Canis lupus familiaris: one gene and its partner. The protein of the gene in region 2 purifies or fractionates together with the protein of the main gene of each other region. This does not show direct contact. Links are inferred from orthologs where the notes say so. Each region holds a gene or a part of one and is shown on either strand. Other genes may lie near its edges.

Region 1 (9,544 bases), on a different chromosome or scaffold from region 2:
GAAGCCATAGGTGGGGCCCTAACCTGATCGGCCTGGTAAAGGCAAAGAGGCAGACACCAGAGATTTTCTCTCTGTGTGCATGGAGGAAAGGGCACATGAGGACACGGCATAGTGGCCATCTGCAAGCGAGGAAAAGAGGCTTCACTAGAAACCAACTTTGCTGGCACCTTGGACTCTGAGTTTCCACTCAGTCTGTGGCACTCTCTTATGGCCACCCGAGCTGACAGTCCCCCTGTGTCTTTCATAGATGGTGTTCTTGAACCAGGTTCTAATTAAGGCTCATCATTGCTTTGTTAATGTCTTTCATGTCTCCTTTACAACCCAAAGCTCCTCCTTGTGATGCAATCAGGCCATTTGTCCTGTGTGATGCCCTAATCCTGGATTTGCCCTCCTTGAATGTTTCCCTGTGGTGGTGTTTGTTACTCTATTCCTTTTTTCTTTTCTTAAAGATTTTATTTATTTATTCATAAGAGACACACAGAGAGAAGCAGAGACATAGGCAGAGGGAGAAGCAGGCTCCCTGTGAGGAGTCTGATGCAGGACTTGATCCCAGGACCCCAGGATCATGCCCTGAGCTAAGGGTAGATGCTCAACCACTGAGCCACCCAGGTATCCCTCTTACTTTATTCCAATTTAGATCTTTACCTTCCAATCAGACTACCAGACTGGTGTTCTGCTTGGATTTCCAGACCCCCCAAGGTCACCCTCCACCTTTACGACATTCTCCATAGCTGGTTATGCTAAACGTACCTTCTTCTATCAAGTCATTTATCTGCTAAAAGCTTCTGGTGGATCTTCACTTGTCACAGAAAAAGCCCAAACTTACCACAGCATTCAAGGCCCTCCCAAACCTGTCTACCTTCTGTGATTTTCCCTACTGCACTGCACTGCCTAGTCACACTGGCACCTAGCGAGCCAGAAGGCAGGGAACTTGGTGGAACCACCCAGAAGGAATGCTTCTCTTCACGGTCTATAACTGTAGCCAGATGGCCCTCCCGCTAATGCAGGCTTGACTGCTTCACTCCAGGCACCTTACCTAGTTCCGCATGGCACGTTCTTCACCTCATCTGTCTGCAGTGTGGTCTAGAAATAGAAGAGACATAAAAGGATGTAAGATGGGCAGTGCTGAGCAAAGTAGCTTAGTTTTGGAATCCCAAATGGCCTGGTCCTTGAGGTTAACTGGGTTGAGCTTTGCCCTTGTTAAACATGAACACTCAGCCTAATCTTTATTTACACAGAGTGTGAGGCCCAGACGAACAAAGGTACGCAAGCCCAGCCTCACTGTAAGTGAATCATCACACGAAAAAGCTGAGTAAAAATGGTTTAATGAAAACAACCCTGGATTAGGAGTCTTAAGACCCATCTTTACCTCTGCTGTCTTCTTTACTAGTCTCAAAACAAGAGGATTCTGTATTTAACCTGGCTCAACCCCTTCTCAGAATTACTGTTAGACTCCTGAGATCCTGGGCATAAATGCACTCTGAAAACCATCAAGCACAGGAAATGGCAGAAGAAATGAACAGAGAATGCTGATGAGGTGCTCCAGGATATTTTCCTGGGTCAGTTTAAAAGTCATTTTCTAAATCTCCTTAACCCTTGTAGCTGGACATACTTCAAAGATGGCTAGTTTAACTTAGCCAGGCTTTAGATCTATCATAACTAATCCTACTTTTCCTTCAAATGTCATTTCCCTTCACCAAGTCCAACTTTCCTTTCCCCTAACCCTCCAAATTATGTTTACATCTATGAAGTTCAAACAAGAACCAGCAAAATTACTGTGTTTCATTTCCATTTATCTTGGTAGCCTGTGATTTAAACACACAGACACACACATCCTACTTCTCCTTCTATACATTCAGAACTGATTCTTCTCTGGCTCTACCTTGAAGTGAAAAAATAATTCCCAGCTGGGAGTGATGGGCCAATGCAATGACCCCATTCAGCTATTTCAACAGTCAAATAAAGCTCTAGAGTATGTGGTTCATGGAGCCTCATTCTTTATATATATATATATACACACACACACACACATATATATGTATATATACATAAACATATATATATATCATATATATCTACAGGACATAGATCCTATCAAGGAATCCTGTATATATGATTCCTTGAAAAGGCATTATACTCATGTAATGGGAAATAATTCCAAATCATGTGTTGGTAAACACCCCAAACCTGCAGTGGCTCAAACACACCCTACACACTGAGTTTACCTGCACAGACTTATATGAGGTGATGAAAGGAAGCATGAGATGGAAACCTGGGCCGCTGGTAGAAGTCAGGAGGGCTCCACCTCTGCAGAGGAGGAAGAGAGAAACAGTTTAGCAAGAGGTATTGATCACAGCAATACTATTTGCACTGACTTTCTCTATAGTCCCATACATGTTTCATACAGTGACACGTGCCTGAGCCATGTCCACAGACCCCTTCCTCTCAGCTCAACCCTCATATTATAGGAAGCCTGATAGTAAAACATAAAACCATTATTCATGCTTTTGCAGCAGGAAAATAGGCACATGGGCTAGGCGGAATGAAGACAGCAGGATCCCCGGCAATCCTTAACAGATGAGAAGTTTCACTTGGTCATATCCATTGCGGCAATCCATGGGGGCGGTTAAGTCCAGTAATACAATTATCCAATCAACTGCAGTAATGTTGGAGTCCAGGGGCACGAACAAGCAAAAGAATAATTTTCAGAATGCTTTAAAAAACATATATGTACTTTTTTTTGGGCAGAATTACCTTTATAACCAAGTTATGTGTAAAGGGTAACAAAATTAAAGCCTTTTTGGGGGACATATGAGCAGAATGTGGGGAGAAATAAAGCAGAGAGTGGAGCCCAATGAGGCTTCCAGAACTTGCTACTGGCAGTCCAGGAATAGGCATCTTGGGCATATATAAGGAGGAATTCATAAAGACTTAAAGCAAAAGACTTGGTCATGGAGGTTACTGGAAGGAAAGCAACCCAAGATTTAGAAGTGCTTCTTTGCTTTGTATTATGAAGAAAATACACTATTTTTTTTTTTTTTTCAAAAAAGAGAGTAACAAAATAGACAGTAACACAACTGGGTTCCTTTCTTGTAAGAACTACTATCCTAGGGCTTGCCTTGACAGATATATGTCAATCTGCAGGATTCTTCTTTTTTCTTGAAATGTTAATTTTAATGAGTGGGTACAAACTAGCGGAGCAGGCCAGCTCCTCAAGTGGCCATCATGAACTGGTGCTCACTGGAGGTAACTTTGTGGCACCAGGATGCCTGCAAGGGATATAGGGGAAAACAATGTTTCAGGGATGATCTGCAAGCACTGGTTTCCTTCAGATTTTGTCTCTAAATCTCTATACACATTTATGGTTCGCCATCCATGGCATCAATGTAAGATTAAGTTTTATAAATGTATATGAGTGTGGGTGTACACCTGTTTCCATGGTCACTGACACAACAGCTCAATCTAAAAGACTCCTCTACTCAATATTCACAGATGTCCAATAGAATCGGCCAGTGACTAGGAAAGTCATTTAACAGGAAGTTGCAAGCTTCTTCCTGTCTCTTCCTTACCTGTAATACACCCCAATATGTCCCTCTTCTATCTTGTGCACAGCTGAGAAGAGAGATGCACAAAAGAAACTGGTAGCCACAGCCACAACTGCTCCCAACTGAGCCATCAGCGAACCTGTATCCTGGGGAAAAAGACGCAGGAAAATGTGTGTGGCCCGACATGCACGAGAAAAGCCGTGACAGGAAGAGCCCCTCACTAAGCTGAGCTTCCTGCAAGTGGCTCAGACCCAGCCTGTTGAAGCCTGAACACAAGGCTACGCCAACAACCCGCCTCATGCTTGCTCTCAGGCAACGTTCCCACTCCTTCCTTCACTGTGGGATTATATTCCCTACCTCCTTGAGGAGGCAGTGGCCCCAGAGACAGCCGGGCCCGAGAGAGAAGCAGAGCCAACTGGGCAGCGTTCAGAACACAGCCTTCTCTTCCTGGGAACACGAATGTGCTGTCACTGGAGACACTCCTACTAGTAAAAGGGAAGAGAGGCAGCTGCAGTAGGTTGCCCAAATTACAGAGGATGTCAAGTGACAGGCAGTTGTGGCTGTGTAATGCTGGTCAGAGCCTGCCGTCCTAATTGCCTGCCACTCCAAAGGAAACCATTATTTACTCCTTTCAGATGCTGGGGCGACAGAGGCAGCATGTGAGCAGAGTTGCACGGTGGGGTTCTCTGGCCTTCCGTCCACCTTCCCAGTTATTCCTTCGGCCCTAAGCGGCAGGGGAGGGCTCTGAATACACCCTCCCGTACACTTGACTGGCACTTTGCACCCGACGGGTCCCCAAGCGCAGGGTTAGAGCAGAAGAGGGCTCCCCAGGGTGGGAAGACCGGGGTCCCGGGTCCCAGGGAGTGCCAGCGCCAGGAGGACAGACAGCTGGCGTCCAGGCTCATTTCCCGGGCCCTGAAGGATCTGGAAAAACGATGGCAACGGAAGAAGCTCCCAGTCAGGCGGCCCGGGGGCCCCCGCGCGGGGCGTGGACCCCGCCTCCCGGGGCTAACAGGACTCGGGCTCGGACATCTGCAAGGCGCTGCTTTTACCGTGACCGACTCCAGCTACCGATCTGCAGCTGCGTCCTGTCTGCAAGTGCCCCCCTCCCCTCCCCTCCCCTCCCCTCCCCTCCCCGCCCCTTCCCTGCCCTCCCCCGACAGGGGGTCGCGCGTCCCAAGCGCTCGGGGCTCGCGGGGAAGGGACGGAACAGACAGGGATGGCTTTCTTGGTCCTGAGGGAGGGGGGTGGCTGGGCCCGGGGCCCGGGAGGACCGCTGAGAAGCTCCGGCCGGGAGCCGCAACTAGGCCCAGCGCGCACGCTAAGGGGCGGGGGCCGCGTACCAGGCTGTCCCTCCAGGCGCTCCGTACTCGTCCGAACCCCAGGGCAACCGTAGAAACCGCCACGCCCTCCACACGCTACTTCCTTCCGGGCCCGTCGCTCTGATGACGCCATTAGTTCACGCGAGAAGAGCCCCCACCCTTAGCGCGCCAGCCCCGCCCCCGCGCTCCGACCTGTCGGAGTCCGCGCATGGGCACCAGGCGGCGCCCGCGGCTGGGTCCGGCGGGTCAGGACCTGGGTTTAGGCTTCGCGGGTGGGGACGGTGCGCAGCGCCTGGAGGGTGACGCGGCGGAGAACGCTAGTGGCCGCGGTGCTGAGTGACTGAGGGTGTCGCTTTCCGAAGTTCCAGCTTCGGAATTTGCTCCGGATCTCCCCGCCCCCCGCGCCCCGCGTGTGTTGTTTTTCGGAGCGGGTACAGCGAGCTGCAGCCCTTCTCGCCCTCTGCTCGCGCTTTTCTACGGCGCGGCGGAACCTAGCACATCTTTTAGTGCGTGCATTAGCACCGTGACCTCGTTCATCAACAAACAGTCCCTATTTGGGATTGCCCTTTATGCTTTTTTTTTTTTTTTTTTTTTTTTTTTTAGGATCCTTGGCCTTTGAGGTCCTCACGGCACTATTTCAACAGCTGAAGAAGGAATTATTCGAGTTTTAGCAGAATCTTGAGCTCAGTGAGGCGCGAGGGTGACAGTGGATGAAAGCCTCCTTGGCGCTTCTTAACCATCGGGAGCTTAACTGCCTTTGTAACACCGGCCAGCTTAGCTTACGCCGCCCCCCCCCCCCTTACAGGACTGTAAGCTCCCTGAGGGCAGGGGCTGCGTCTGCACTTCCCGTGCTCAGTAAGTGCACACTGGAGGCACCGTGGCATCAGGAGCAGGATCCTGACCTCGAGTGTCCTGGTCTGAGGGCTTCACATTGTCCGCAGCCTTGGCTGTTCAGCAGCAGCGCGCTGGGGCCTTTCTAATTCAGCTGCTGAAGTTATTTTTGTTTGCAGGAGAGAACGTCCACTTAATTGCAGCCCTCAGTAAATGAAAAGCTTTTACACAGAGAAGATGGCAAGATGGTGGTGGTAGACAGATTCAGGACACAGGCAAAGGAAAGCATAGGTTTTCCAGGCGTATCTGCTTGGAATTCACCCTGGGTTTGCTCTGGATGAGTCTGTGCTGGGATGCCTTGGCATTGAATGGTGAAGCCCACACGTGGCTGCCTGGTGCTGCTGCCTGGGCACTCGGTGTGCCCACCTCTGTCAGTGAGGGCTCTTGTCTTAGCCTGTGGCTACAAATCCCCCCTCCTCCCAGCTGGCCAATCTCCTGATCCATCCTTTCGGCACCTAAGGGCTTTTTGTCTACGGGCTCAGTGATATAATTCAGCTGGTCGCACTTAATACGTTTATTTAATAGTTGAGTGAATGAGTCAGAAAAATGGAAATATTGAGGTTTATCAGCCCAAGCGATGGGCCTTCATGTGCAGCATAAAGGATCTGAATTAGTTGTAATTTAAGAATTTCCTGACTGTTCAACTTTGGCATGAACTGTGAGTGGAAGTTGTGGGATTCTGTTCTCAAGAAGCTTTTTGCCAGGCCTGAGCTATTTAACTGTGGCATTGCCTAGAGGCTGGGGATGAACTTCAGTAGATGGTCTAGCATTTCTGAAAATCATTTTCTTAAGGCCCCCTGTGATTTTTCTGACAATATCCAGCATTATCAAGCAGCAGGTAAGCCTGTGATGATTTAACAAAAGTGTTTAAAAACCCATTTTTAAAAAACAACTTGTGGTAAAAGAGTTGCGGTTAAGTGTAGATACTCCACAGTCAGATTGCTGAATTTGAATCCTACCCCTTCACTCCACTCCACGCCTCCTGTTAGCTGTGTGACCTTGGAAAATGAATTAATCTATCTGTGCTCCAATTTCTTTATCTATAAAATGGGGGCAATAATAGTATAAACCTTCTAGGACTGTTGTAAGCAATAAATGGCTGATCAAGGAAAGCACTTACACAATGAGATAACACTTCACACCTATCAGAATGGCTAGACTCAAAAAGACAAGAAATAACAGGTGCTGGCCAGGATGTGGTGAAAAGGGAACCCTCATGTGCTGTTGTTAGGAATGTAAATTGGTATGACCACAGTGGAAAGCAATATGGAGGTTTCTCAAAAAATTAAAAGTAGAAATACCATATGATCCAGTAATTCCATTACTGGATATTTATCCAAAGAAAATGAAAACACTAATTTGAAAAGATACATGCACCACTATGTTTATTACAGCATTATTTACGATAGCCACGATGTGGAAGCAGCCCAAGTGTCCATCCCTAGATGAATGGTAGTGGCGTATGTGGGGTATATATACACAAACGTTATTCAGCCATAAAACAGAATGAAGTTTTGCCACTTGTAACAACATGGATGGACCTAGTGGGTATTATGGTAAGTGAAATAAGTCAGACAGAAAAAGACAAATGCCATATGATTTCACTTATATGTGGAATCTAAAAAACAACAAATGAACAAACAAGCAAAACACCAGGCTCTTAAATACAGAGAACAAACTGGTACTTTCCAGAAAGGAAGTAGGTGGGTGGATAGGTGAAATAGGCAAAAGGGATTAAGAGGCACAAACTTCCAGTTATAAAATAATTAAGTCATGAAGATGAAAAGTACAGCATAGGGAATATGGACAATAATATTGTAATTATGTTGTTTGGTGACAGATGGTGACTACACTTATCATAGTGAGCACTGAGTCATGTACAGAATTGTTAGATCACTGTGTTGTGGACATGAGACTAATATGACATTGTATATCACCTATACTTCAAGAAAAAAAGCATACACAATGTTTGGCACATTTTAAGTCTTCAATAATGTTAGCTGTTGCTGCTTTAAATAGCAAATTCCTGTAACATGTTCTTGTCTGTTTGTGGATTTGGATTATTAATGTGACAGAAGGTGAGAGAAGGATAAGCTTAAAGTTATGTGGTATTGAGTAATAACCAAATGAAGGCTTATCAAAAGGAGAGATAAGGGACTCTGAAATTCTACTTCAACAGATATTTATTTACAATACAAATTTCGAAGCATTATCTAGTGCTTTCCACGTACCAGGCCCTATGCCATTCTCATTTTATATGATCTTGAGGTCAGCCCTTTGAGATCAACTCCATGTTAGAGGAGGAAGTTAAAGCTTGGAGAAGTCAAGGGATTGCCCAAGACCACAAAACTTGTATATTGCAAAGCAGAATCCATGTGATCCCAAGTCTATTTCTTTCTTATAGTAAATGAATGGGAAAATAATGATTCAACTTAAAACACACACACACATACGCGTACACACACACACACACACACACACAGAGTTAGCACATTTATCTCACATGTAACCTTTTAGGAATGTAGACCAGTGGTGAGAAATTGCAAAACTTTAAATCGGACCAGTTTATTTTGCAGTTGTGGGTTGGAGCAGGATAAAACGTAGTCTCACCCCAACCACCCACATCTTGCTCTCTCTGGATAGCTGTTTGTTTGGTCCTCTTACTAAGCTTGTTGGTGAGAGAGCCACTCCAAAGAGAGAAGAGACTCCCTTTTTGCACAGTTAGAGCAAAATTATTAATAACCAGGTTGGCCAAAGGAACCAGGCAACTCTTAGAATCTTGGGCTTCATCTGTAGTGCAAGATTGGACGTTGCTGGAAAAAGTTTTTGATTTTTCTTCTTTATGCGCTAAAACAGGAAATAGAGGTCTTCTTTCAGGACATTGGATCCCAGTAAGATTTTGGTGAGCTTGGGAGAAGAGAAGTGAAGAATTATGTCCCTAATAATCATGAAGGGGGTTACTTACAACATTCCCCCTCTTATTTTCAGTTGCAAAAACCAGGATTGGTTCCTTTTAAGAACAAAAGGATATTTACCCGGGGCTGATAATATTTTCTTCAAAGGAGTTTGGTAAAGGGATCAAAGGGGATTCATGAAAAAAAAAATGGAGTTGGAAGTCGGTTGGAAGTCACCTAAAGATCATTTTGTGATGATATGTTTTTACAGCTTTATTGAGGTATAATTGGCCCACAATAAAGTGTATATAGAGTGTATAACTTGATAAGTTTTGACATATGTATACACCTGTGAAACCATTACCACAATCCAGATAATGAACACATGCATCATGCCCCCACATTTCCTCATCTCCTTGACAATCTCCCCCTCCTACCCCCTCCATGATCCTGCAACCCCAATTTTCAAGCAACAGCTGATCTTGTCACTATAGATTAGTTTGCATTTTGTACAATCTTATACAAAAGGAATCATACAGTATGGACTCATTTTGCAGGGGAGGGTATGTCTGGCTTCTTTTTATTTTTTAAAAGATTTTATTTATATATTAGAGAGCAAAAGAGTGTAAGCATGTGAGAGAGAGCACAAGTGGTAGAGAGTGCTGAGCAGGGAGCCTGATACAGGGCTTGATCCTAGGACCCTGGGATCATGACCTGAGCCAAAGGCAGCTGCTTAACCAACTGAGCCAGCCAGGCATCCCTTATTTTACTTTATTATTTTTTTGGCCAGAATAATTATCTAGAGATTCGTCCAGTCATTTCCTTTTACTGTATGTCAACAATTCATTCCCTTGTACTGTTATGTAGTACTCCATGGGCCAGCTATACAACA
Region 2 (9,025 bases):
CTTTAAGAGCATTAAGCTCTTAAAATTAAACCAAGTGTGTACAAAATGCTCTCTGGTGAATACACTTAGTTTTAAACCAGTGTGCAAAAGTAAGTATAGAGGAGGCCACTCCAGAAGCAAACTTAATTCCCTTATCCAAGACCTTTGCATTAGACAGATCTCATGCCAGCCTGTCTGACTTCAGACCAAGTCTTCACCCAAAAGGGTAAAGTTCTCTTAGTCAGGAGTGCAGACATCCACTGAACCGTACAAGCTCTATCTAAATCTTTTTCTCATCTGTATCTTAAATCCCAAGACTACTCCCTTCCCCACTCACTTGGTCTCAATTAGGATGTCGGCATTGGTTGGATTCAGCACGGCTTTACATATTAGTTCTTGGGTCACTGGGATCGATTTGTTCATGGACACACAGAGGTCAGAGAGATAATCTAAGAATCTGTCGAGAAAGAGAAAGCAAACAAAACATTTTCTGTAGCCAGAGAGGAGGTTTGGCTCTTGGAGCCTGACTCTGCTAAGTGGACAGTCCATACCTTGGACAAAAGAAATCAGAGACATTTCAGGTTTGGCTGCCAGCATCTACAGCACCACCAGGAACCCAGTCACCATAAGAAAAGAAAGAAAGAGGCAGAAGAGGAAAGCGGCCATGACTGGGGCAGATGGAGAAGTGATGAGGCAAAAATGAAAAGAAGGAAGACATCCACATAAGGAAGCAGTGGATGGAGGGGGACCAGAGAAGTTAGGAAAGGCTCTGAGGCCTGAGTTGGAATCCCTGTGCTGATTCTCCTTTAGTTATGTTCTGATATGCAGTGTGACTTGGAGAAATTTCTTGACCTTGCTGTATTACACTTTTCTCATCCACAGAAGAGGATAATGTATAACCTCAGAGAACTGTCCTGAAGATTAAATAAGCTAATTCATGTCAAGTGCTGGTTTAGTTCACTCCCTGGTACATGAGAATGCTCCACAAGGCATCATTTAACTTCATGGGTGGGAGGAGTCATTTTGTAACAACACTATCAGCTCTCCAGTGTGATTGTTCACGATATCTATATTATAAGCTATTTCCTACTTCTAAAATGTTGTGGATCTTTTTTTTTATATATAAAAAATATTTATTTATTTGAGAAAGAGAGAGAAAGCACGAGCAGGGGAAAGGGCAGAGGGAGAGGGAGAAGCAGACTCCCTGTTGAGCAGGGAGCCCAATGTGGGGCTCGATCCCAGGACCCCAGGATCATGACCTGAGGTGAAGGCAGGTACTAAACCGACTGAGTCACCCAGTTGCCCCAATGTTGTGGATCTGAATCAGGAGAAGAAAAGAGGGAAGAGAGGAAGAAGGTGGGGAGATCTATGAGAATGAGAAATGATAGAATCCTAACATAAAATAAAAACACTCAAGTAACAACTAAGTTTGCAAAAAAAAACTCTTATGATATTTGGGGGAAGTGTTCTAACTGATAATCGGGGGGTACTACATGGTCACTGAGTGGCCAGTGCTATCTGCCATTGACTGAGCATCTACGAAGTACCAGGTACTTCACATGCATTTATTCTCATTCAATTTTCATAACCATCCATTTAGCATAGAAGGAAATTAAAGCTCAAGGGGAAAGTGAAGGTCACCCAGCTGGTAAATGTTAGAGCTAGGATTCCACCACAGGTCTGTTCTTTCCGCTACTCATCCAAGAGCCTCTCAAGACTGGCCTAAATGACATCTGCCTCTGGCAGCCCTCAAAAAGGAAACCCAGCCCAAAGCACCATGACTGGTTTGGTCAGACACATTCTGCCAATCAGGCCCACCTCCGCCTCACCTGGGCTCCCTGTTCTTTCGCACCAGACTGACAAATGTGTCGATCTCAGCAGCGGTGATGTGTTTTTCCAGGAGTTTTCTGTTATTGTGAAGCAGGGCAGTGATGGTGTCTTCGGCCAACACATCGTAGCCAATCTGTTTTTGCATGAAGCCAAACTGCTTGGCTATGTACTCCTTTTAAGGAAGAAAAGAAAGGTTGACAGAGAGACCAAAAAATATTAAGTTCAACCCAAAACTGAGGAAAACAGCAACAGTCCCTGATGAGAATGATTGTTTGTAAGGGAAATCCTAGTGGAGCATCTTTCCACAACTTTCTAATCTAGGATAGCAGCTGCAAACTCCCCCACATCCTTCATTTTACTAAACCTGCCACACAAATGTAATTAAGCAAATTATCCTGTATGTACAGATGGGCATTTTAGTAAGTGCACAGTATAAATATTAATGTGGTGACTTATTTTCCTAAAAGGTCAAAAGCTGTTTTTCAGCTCTGATTTTATTACTAATTCAAGAGGATTTAACTGTGCCTTGCTCCTCTATGCTGCTGAATAAATATACTTAAGCCTACCTAGCTATTTAGAACAATATTACCCCATTCTGTATTCTTTAACTGGGGTGAAAATACATTTTTATAGCCAATGGGTAGCAGAAGCAAGTTAGGAATACCTAAGCCAGTCAACCAGATTCATAGAACCTATGACAACATCTCTGGCTTCTCTCTTTGGGGATCAGACATGATGTTCCATAACAATATATGAGGAACTCAGGGAAGCCTCTTGAAGATATTGCTTCTTTCTATTCAAAAATATTTCCCTTCCCAAGACAATTTGTTTACTGAAAGTTCCAAAAGCCCTTGAAACTTGGCTTAATTTTTTAAAATTAATTCCAAAAACCTAAAAACTACTCAGAGTGTCCACAGTGGACACTGGCCACTTTTCAGCCCATGCTCAATAAGGATGCACATTTAGGAATTCACCAGCCCTCAAAGATACACTTATGCCAAGTGGCATAGAATCCATAAATAATAAGCAGAGATAGTCAATGTAGCAGCAGTAAGAGGGAATGGTTTGGTCTTTTCATGTAGAAGCAAAATGTGCTGGCACACACTACAGGCTCCAATGCATCCTTATCTGAAGATAGCAGAGAAAGAGAATAAAATCTCTTTGGCACTATTTGAGTATGGTATTGACACACCGCAGGTGAATTTAAAGCAATCAGAGCACCCAAAGACCACCTGTCCAGATTAATGAACGCAACATCATAGGTATAGGATACTTTTAATTTCAACAATACCAAAGGCAAAGTCAAAAGCTTAGCAATATTTGCTAACAACATTATATCTAATACTTTAGAGCATTGCTTAAGTTTAATACTATCTTCATGACAAAATATAAAAAACCTTAATTACAGAGAAAAGCTTAAATTTAAAGGCCAGATGTTGAGGCAGTCAAAAGTTTACAAACAAAAGCTTTTTGTAACACAACGCAGAGACTGGGAATCAAGGTTTTCATAAGCATCATCTATGCACCTACAGTACTTAGAGTAACATAGTGCAGGGCCTCTCAACCTCAGCACTACGGACTATCGGGCTGGATAACTATTTGCAGATGGGGATGTCCTGTGCATTCCTGGATATTTAGTAGCATCAGTGGCTTCTATCCACTAGGTGCCAGGAGCACCTCCAAGTTGTGACACTCAAAAGGGTCCCCTGAAATTGTCAAATACTTCCTGGGGGACAATATTAGTTCCAGCTGAGAACTACTAAATGTGTAACACAGTTCACAGGCTTCCTTAAAATACCAAAATAATGGGAAACCCCAGAGAGGTTAGAACATTTATTTCATGGGGAGAGGATAATATATATAGTGCCATGACATAGACAAGGACTTAGAATGTCATAAAATATGAGCCAAAATCAAAATAAAGTTACCAGCAGACATGTAGACTATGGAAGGGAGCAGGAAGAAAAGATTCCACTCTTCCTTTAATATAAACCCATGTAATCATTTTCCATAAGGCAATAAAAATGTAATACCAATGCCAAAAGAAAACTCTCATTGAAAGGTGGCTGCAGAAGGGAACTTCTCTGGCATCTTTCTTAAGGACTCTATCTTCTGAGGCTTGCAAAAATTTATTTCCTTTCTAAGCGTGAACTTAATAAACTAATCTCTAGTCATTAAGTAACTATAGATGTGAGACTTAAAACTCATGAGGCGAGTACATGAACTTCAGGGATGAAGCTGCCCATTACTTCCCATCCATCCCGAATACCAACCTGGTTTTTTCTGTAGTCTTGCTGGGAGTGTCTCAGGACCCTGTAGCAGAGCCGGCAGATATGTCTGAATGGGGCATGCCGCTGATCCCCAAGCTCCTCCAGCCGCAGCATGGGGCCATCGCCACAGTCTGTGAATGGGGCTTGTAACAACTTGAAGATCTGATTGTGAGAAGGAAGAATGAATGCTGCCATCATTTACAGAGTTAATGGCTAACCCTTGGTCTTAAACTAATACAACCTCACAGGTGGTGGGACTGCACAGGCAAATCTTTCTAGATCAACATCAATAATCTGAAAATTACACACAATCCATCAACTGAGACTGGCTACTCACTGAATTCAGGCCACCTGGACCTTATTGGTCCTCAAACACTTGCAAGTGTGGTGTGTAGGGCAGTGGTTAAAAGTATAGACTTTGGAATTAGCAAATTTTAAGTTGAACTCACTCCTGCATTATTCCCTAGTGGTATAAAGCACAGTCAAGGTAGCTTTTGGTTTTCTCATCAGTAAAATGGAAAGAATATCACTGAGTTACAAGGGGGTCTTAAGGATAAAGTAGATAATAATTGTCAGTTGCATAAATATAGTGCTCAGTGAAGGTTTCTGCCCTGGAATCTGATCATTCTGGCCCCTCAAGGAATTACCACTGTGGAAATGAGCATTGGCATTAAGCCAGAGGTCTAATCTGGGAGTCATCCCATGGAACAGCTGGACATAATTTATTCTTGGACTGGAAATCCTTGCTGAAACATGATGGAGTTTTAATAAATTTTGTCTATCATCAACTGACAGGAGAAAGGATTCTCAAATCCCAAGTTCCCATGGAGAACTACAGGACTAGTAATGAATAGGTTTCTCTTTGGATTTTAGTGGCCAGGAATTTCTAAGCCAAGTATGTAGCCAATATATAGCTGTAGAGAACTATATGGTATGCATTTCTGTGCACTTCATCTACTCTTGTCACTTACCTCCCTATAATTTATCTTTACACCATTTTATTTAAATTTATACCAGGTAATACTATCTATATTTGTCCAGTAAGCCATTTATTCATTCTTTATGGTAAGATTTTGTGATGGTTTATAGAGGTCACTATTTATCAAATACTCCAAATCTTCCCAGACATATGAAATAACCTTAAGGACACAGAGAACTTGTTAATGTTTTTGACGAAAATGAAGTCGTCAAGTGAACACTTCTTGGAGTTCCCAACAGGTAAATTCTCACATGTTGATAGTCAACTAGTATGTTTTCAACTGAACTGAGCTAGGAAGCCATGAAAATTTACAGAGGAATCTTAGATGCATATTACTAAATGAAAGAACATAGAACTAAATACTGTATGATTCCAACTATATGACATTCTGGAAAAGGCTAAACTATGATAGCAGTAAAAGGATCAGTGGTTGCCAGGGGTTGAGGGGAATGAGGGATGAATAGGCACAGTACAGAAGATTTTTAGGACAGTGAAAATATTCTGCATAATACTGTAATAATGGATATGTAATTATACATTGGCCTAAACCCAAATAGTGTACAAACACCAAGAGCAAACCTTAATGTAAACTATAGATTTGGGGGGATTATGATGTGTCAATGCAGGTTTAACAACTGTATCAAATGCACCACTACAGTGGTGAATGTTAATGATAGGTAAGGCTATGCATGTGTGTGGGCAGGAGGTATAAACTTTGTGCTGTCCACTCACTATTGTTATGAACTCAAAACTGCTCTATAAAAATCAAGTCTCTTTTCTTGAAAAGTCAGTTGATCAAGCCTTCCAGGTGGGAGCCATCCATGCTCTCTGTAAAAGCAGTGAGCCTACTGATTTCTTACAAAGACTGCAGGTATGTCGCATCTCACAGACCTGCCTGAGGATATTCTGTTCTCTCATCAGCTTCTGCCGCTCCCTGTTGGGCTTGGAGAATACCACTTCAAGTACGTCTTGACCAGAGTTAGTGCCACCAGTGACAAAGTAAACCAAGTCTTCCAGTAGCTTGGTTACAGACCTTAGGGAGAAAGAAGCTATTAGAGATGGGGAACAGTCAACATCCAATAGGTTGGAAGCTTCACCTTAGAAGACTTCGGCCCTGATGAGTCAAACACAAGCAGATCCATTCTTCCCAATTTCCTTAAACATGACAACCAATTACCAAAAAGAGTAAAATACACACAACACATTATTGTCCACAAAAGGATAACCACCTTCACAAAATATAAGCCATCAAATTTTATTTCAGAGTAACACTGGCCCCTAACATTTACTTAGGTAGCCCCAGAGGCCAAATTAGAGACAAAGAAAAAAGATGATCTTTTCAACTTTAGAGACTCAAAGAAGTCAATGTGGTTCTTGAAAATCACCAGTAGAAGCCACATATAAAGGCTAAGGCCTGTTCCTCTCACATAAAACTGTTCACAGTTGGCATTTAGTCTTTCTGCAGCAAGGGATTAAAAAAAAATCCAGGGGCTGAGGATGAGTGTGTCTGGTTCTTGTGGGAAGCCTCACCTTCTTTCATTCTGGGTGATGGTGCCTTTCTCCAGCTTCCCAGCTATGGAGCCCAGCACTTTGCTGGCATCATTGGCAAAATCCAGGTCCCGAACTTCAGCAGGAGAAACTGGAACTATGGCAAAAGCTTCCTTATCCTCTTTCACAGGGGAGGTGCCAATCTGAAAAGCAAAATGGTCTTCATGGAACTGTCTTTTGGATTGAGAAAGCAAAACTTCAAACAAGCACTATATTTACGGGACACTGGGCTATCCAAAAAGCTGGAGCTATACCTTGCCGTTAAAATCAACAAGACATAGGAACATATCTGGAAAGAAGTACCTCAAATCACTAACAGTTGTTACCTCTCTAGAGATTCTTACTGTGGGGAAGCATGAAGCAGAAAATGGGCTCTGGTATCATTTCCTGCCTCCATTCATTCATTCATTCATTATTTATTTATTTATTTATTTATTTATTTAAGATTTTATTCATTTATTAGTGAGAGACACAGAGAGAGAGAGAGGCAGAGACACAGGCAGAGGGAGAAGCAGGCTCCATGCAGGGAGCCCAACATGGGACTCAATCCTGGGTCCCCAGGATCACACCCCGGGCCGAAGGCGGCACCAAACCGCTGAGCCACCCAGGCTACCCCATACCTCCATTTATTAAAGGAAGCGTGTTAAGACTGTTGTAATTTAAAAACATGTTTATAAATACATAAGGAAAAGGCAAATAAGCAAAATGGTAATTACTGACTCAGTTTTATAAGGGTAGACAATGTACCATTCCTTCAATTTTTCTATATACCTGAAAATGTTCATAAAAATAGAAGAAAAAAATTCCAACAACCTCCCCCATCACTAAAAAAAATTTCACTTTTTAAAAATAAAATCCCTATGTTTGTGAATTTATGTTCTATGACCCTGGAAAAGGTAGTGAAGGAGAGGTGGGCCTCTGGGAGAGAAATTAAAGGGGCTGAGAGAACTTTTAAAAAAATGTATATTTAAATACACAGAGAGATAAAGAAATAATAAAGATTGGGGAAAGCTGATTAGGTATCTGATGCGCCTCAAGGCACAAGCAAACATTCCCTGAGCTAAAATCATCCTTCAAGCAGACAAGAAATCCAGACAATTGCTCAATCTTTAGGGCAAAAGCCATGGAATAAAAAGTTCTGGTTATTTCAAAAAGCCTGGGCTTGCTTTAGCCAGGTCCCATGGAGAGAATTCTTTCATTGCATTCAACTTTGTCCATGACCACACACTGGCCAAACCAACAAAACACAGCTCCCTATTCCCCCATCTGTTCTCAAAGGAGCTTTTTCATTAGGGAGCACAAGACCAAAGGAGACAGCCAAGTTCCAGAACTTACTTTAAGCATCACGGGTTTCTCTTCTTCCTTGTCAATGGGGATATTTGTGCTGTGAACCCAGGTATTAGTGCACAGGTGTCTCAGCCGGACATAGGAGTTTCTAAAGGGGAAAATAAAGAAAAAGGATTTGGAGGACAGGAATTTTTAGGTTCTCTATAGCCCCTGGCCTAAAATATATTCTATCAAAATACAGAGGGATACCAAAATGGTTTTTTGCTACATACACTAGACAATATAGACTAAGGAGAAAACGTCTGCATACTGAGATGTATTCTAATATGCTTACAATAAGAAATCATAATGATTCTAACATTGGAATATGCTGTATTTCTAAATACAAGATCATTCCTATGAAAAAGTATCTCAGAACAAACTGAGCATAAGACAGGGTAACAAAAAGTATTTACCGAGTATATATTAACATGTATCATGAGAGATGATGAAGCAACACTTGAAATTTTCATATGGATCAATAAAGCAAAAAATAAAATTACTAGGATAAAATGAGTTAATATTTAATAATCTTGTGGTAGGGAAAGCCATTGAAACATTTGGCAACATACTAGGGTCATAAATTTTAAAAGATGGATACACCTTAAAATACAGTTTAAATTTTATATCTTCCATAAAGAAAAAAAAATCATGAACAGAGTTTAAAGAGAAAGGACAGACAACCTGGGAAAATGAAAGAATATCACATGGCATATAAAGGTGATTAATCTGCATTTATAAGGAGATCTTTAAAATCAGTAAGAAAAGAACATCAATACTGGAAATGAAAATGAGACAAAAACATAAGCCAGTAATTTAATAAAGCAAAATATAAATGGCCAATAAACTTGGAAGTATACATTCAATCTCCTTTGTATACAATTTATACAAATTAAAACTATATATCATCTTACTGTATCATATTCCAAAGATCTTAGAGACTGACATAACCCAGTATTTATAAGAGCTTAGGGAAATGATCTGTCCTCACTCCTGGTGGGAACACTGGAAGGGAGTCTGGCACTTTATAAAACAAGTACAATGTATCTATCTTTTTATCTAGCAATCCCATTTTTAGATTTTTCACTTAAGA

What was found.
Region 1: the proteins of ITPR1 (region 2) and ERLIN2 purify together in Homo sapiens (affinity purification with western blotting, with the first as the bait; 4 studies listed by BioGRID). This does not show direct contact. The link is inferred for Canis lupus familiaris from reciprocal best matches to the Homo sapiens genes ITPR1 and ERLIN2.

What each region holds. Positions count from the first base shown.
Region 1 is NC_049237.1:28,372,282-28,381,825, forward strand, and holds the start of ERLIN2 (erlin-2), read right to left. Parts: upstream 4,592-9,544; 5' UTR 4,205-4,591; coding exon 4,172-4,204; exon of another isoform or gene 3,903-4,171; intron 3,692-3,902; coding exon 3,570-3,691; intron 2,308-3,569; coding exon 2,226-2,307; intron 1,084-2,225; coding exon 1,037-1,083; intron 1-1,036. UniProt on the Homo sapiens protein: Component of the ERLIN1/ERLIN2 complex which mediates the endoplasmic reticulum-associated degradation (ERAD) of inositol 1,4,5-trisphosphate receptors (IP3Rs) such as ITPR1.
Region 2 is NC_049241.1:12,983,688-12,992,712, forward strand, and holds part of ITPR1 (inositol 1,4,5-trisphosphate receptor type 1), read right to left. Parts: intron 8,042-9,025; coding exon 7,942-8,041; intron 6,750-7,941; coding exon 6,589-6,749; intron 6,092-6,588; coding exon 5,950-6,091; intron 4,242-5,949; coding exon 4,083-4,241; intron 1,982-4,082; coding exon 1,809-1,981; intron 437-1,808; coding exon 317-436; intron 1-316. UniProt on the Homo sapiens protein: Inositol 1,4,5-trisphosphate-gated calcium channel that, upon inositol 1,4,5-trisphosphate binding, mediates calcium release from the endoplasmic reticulum (ER).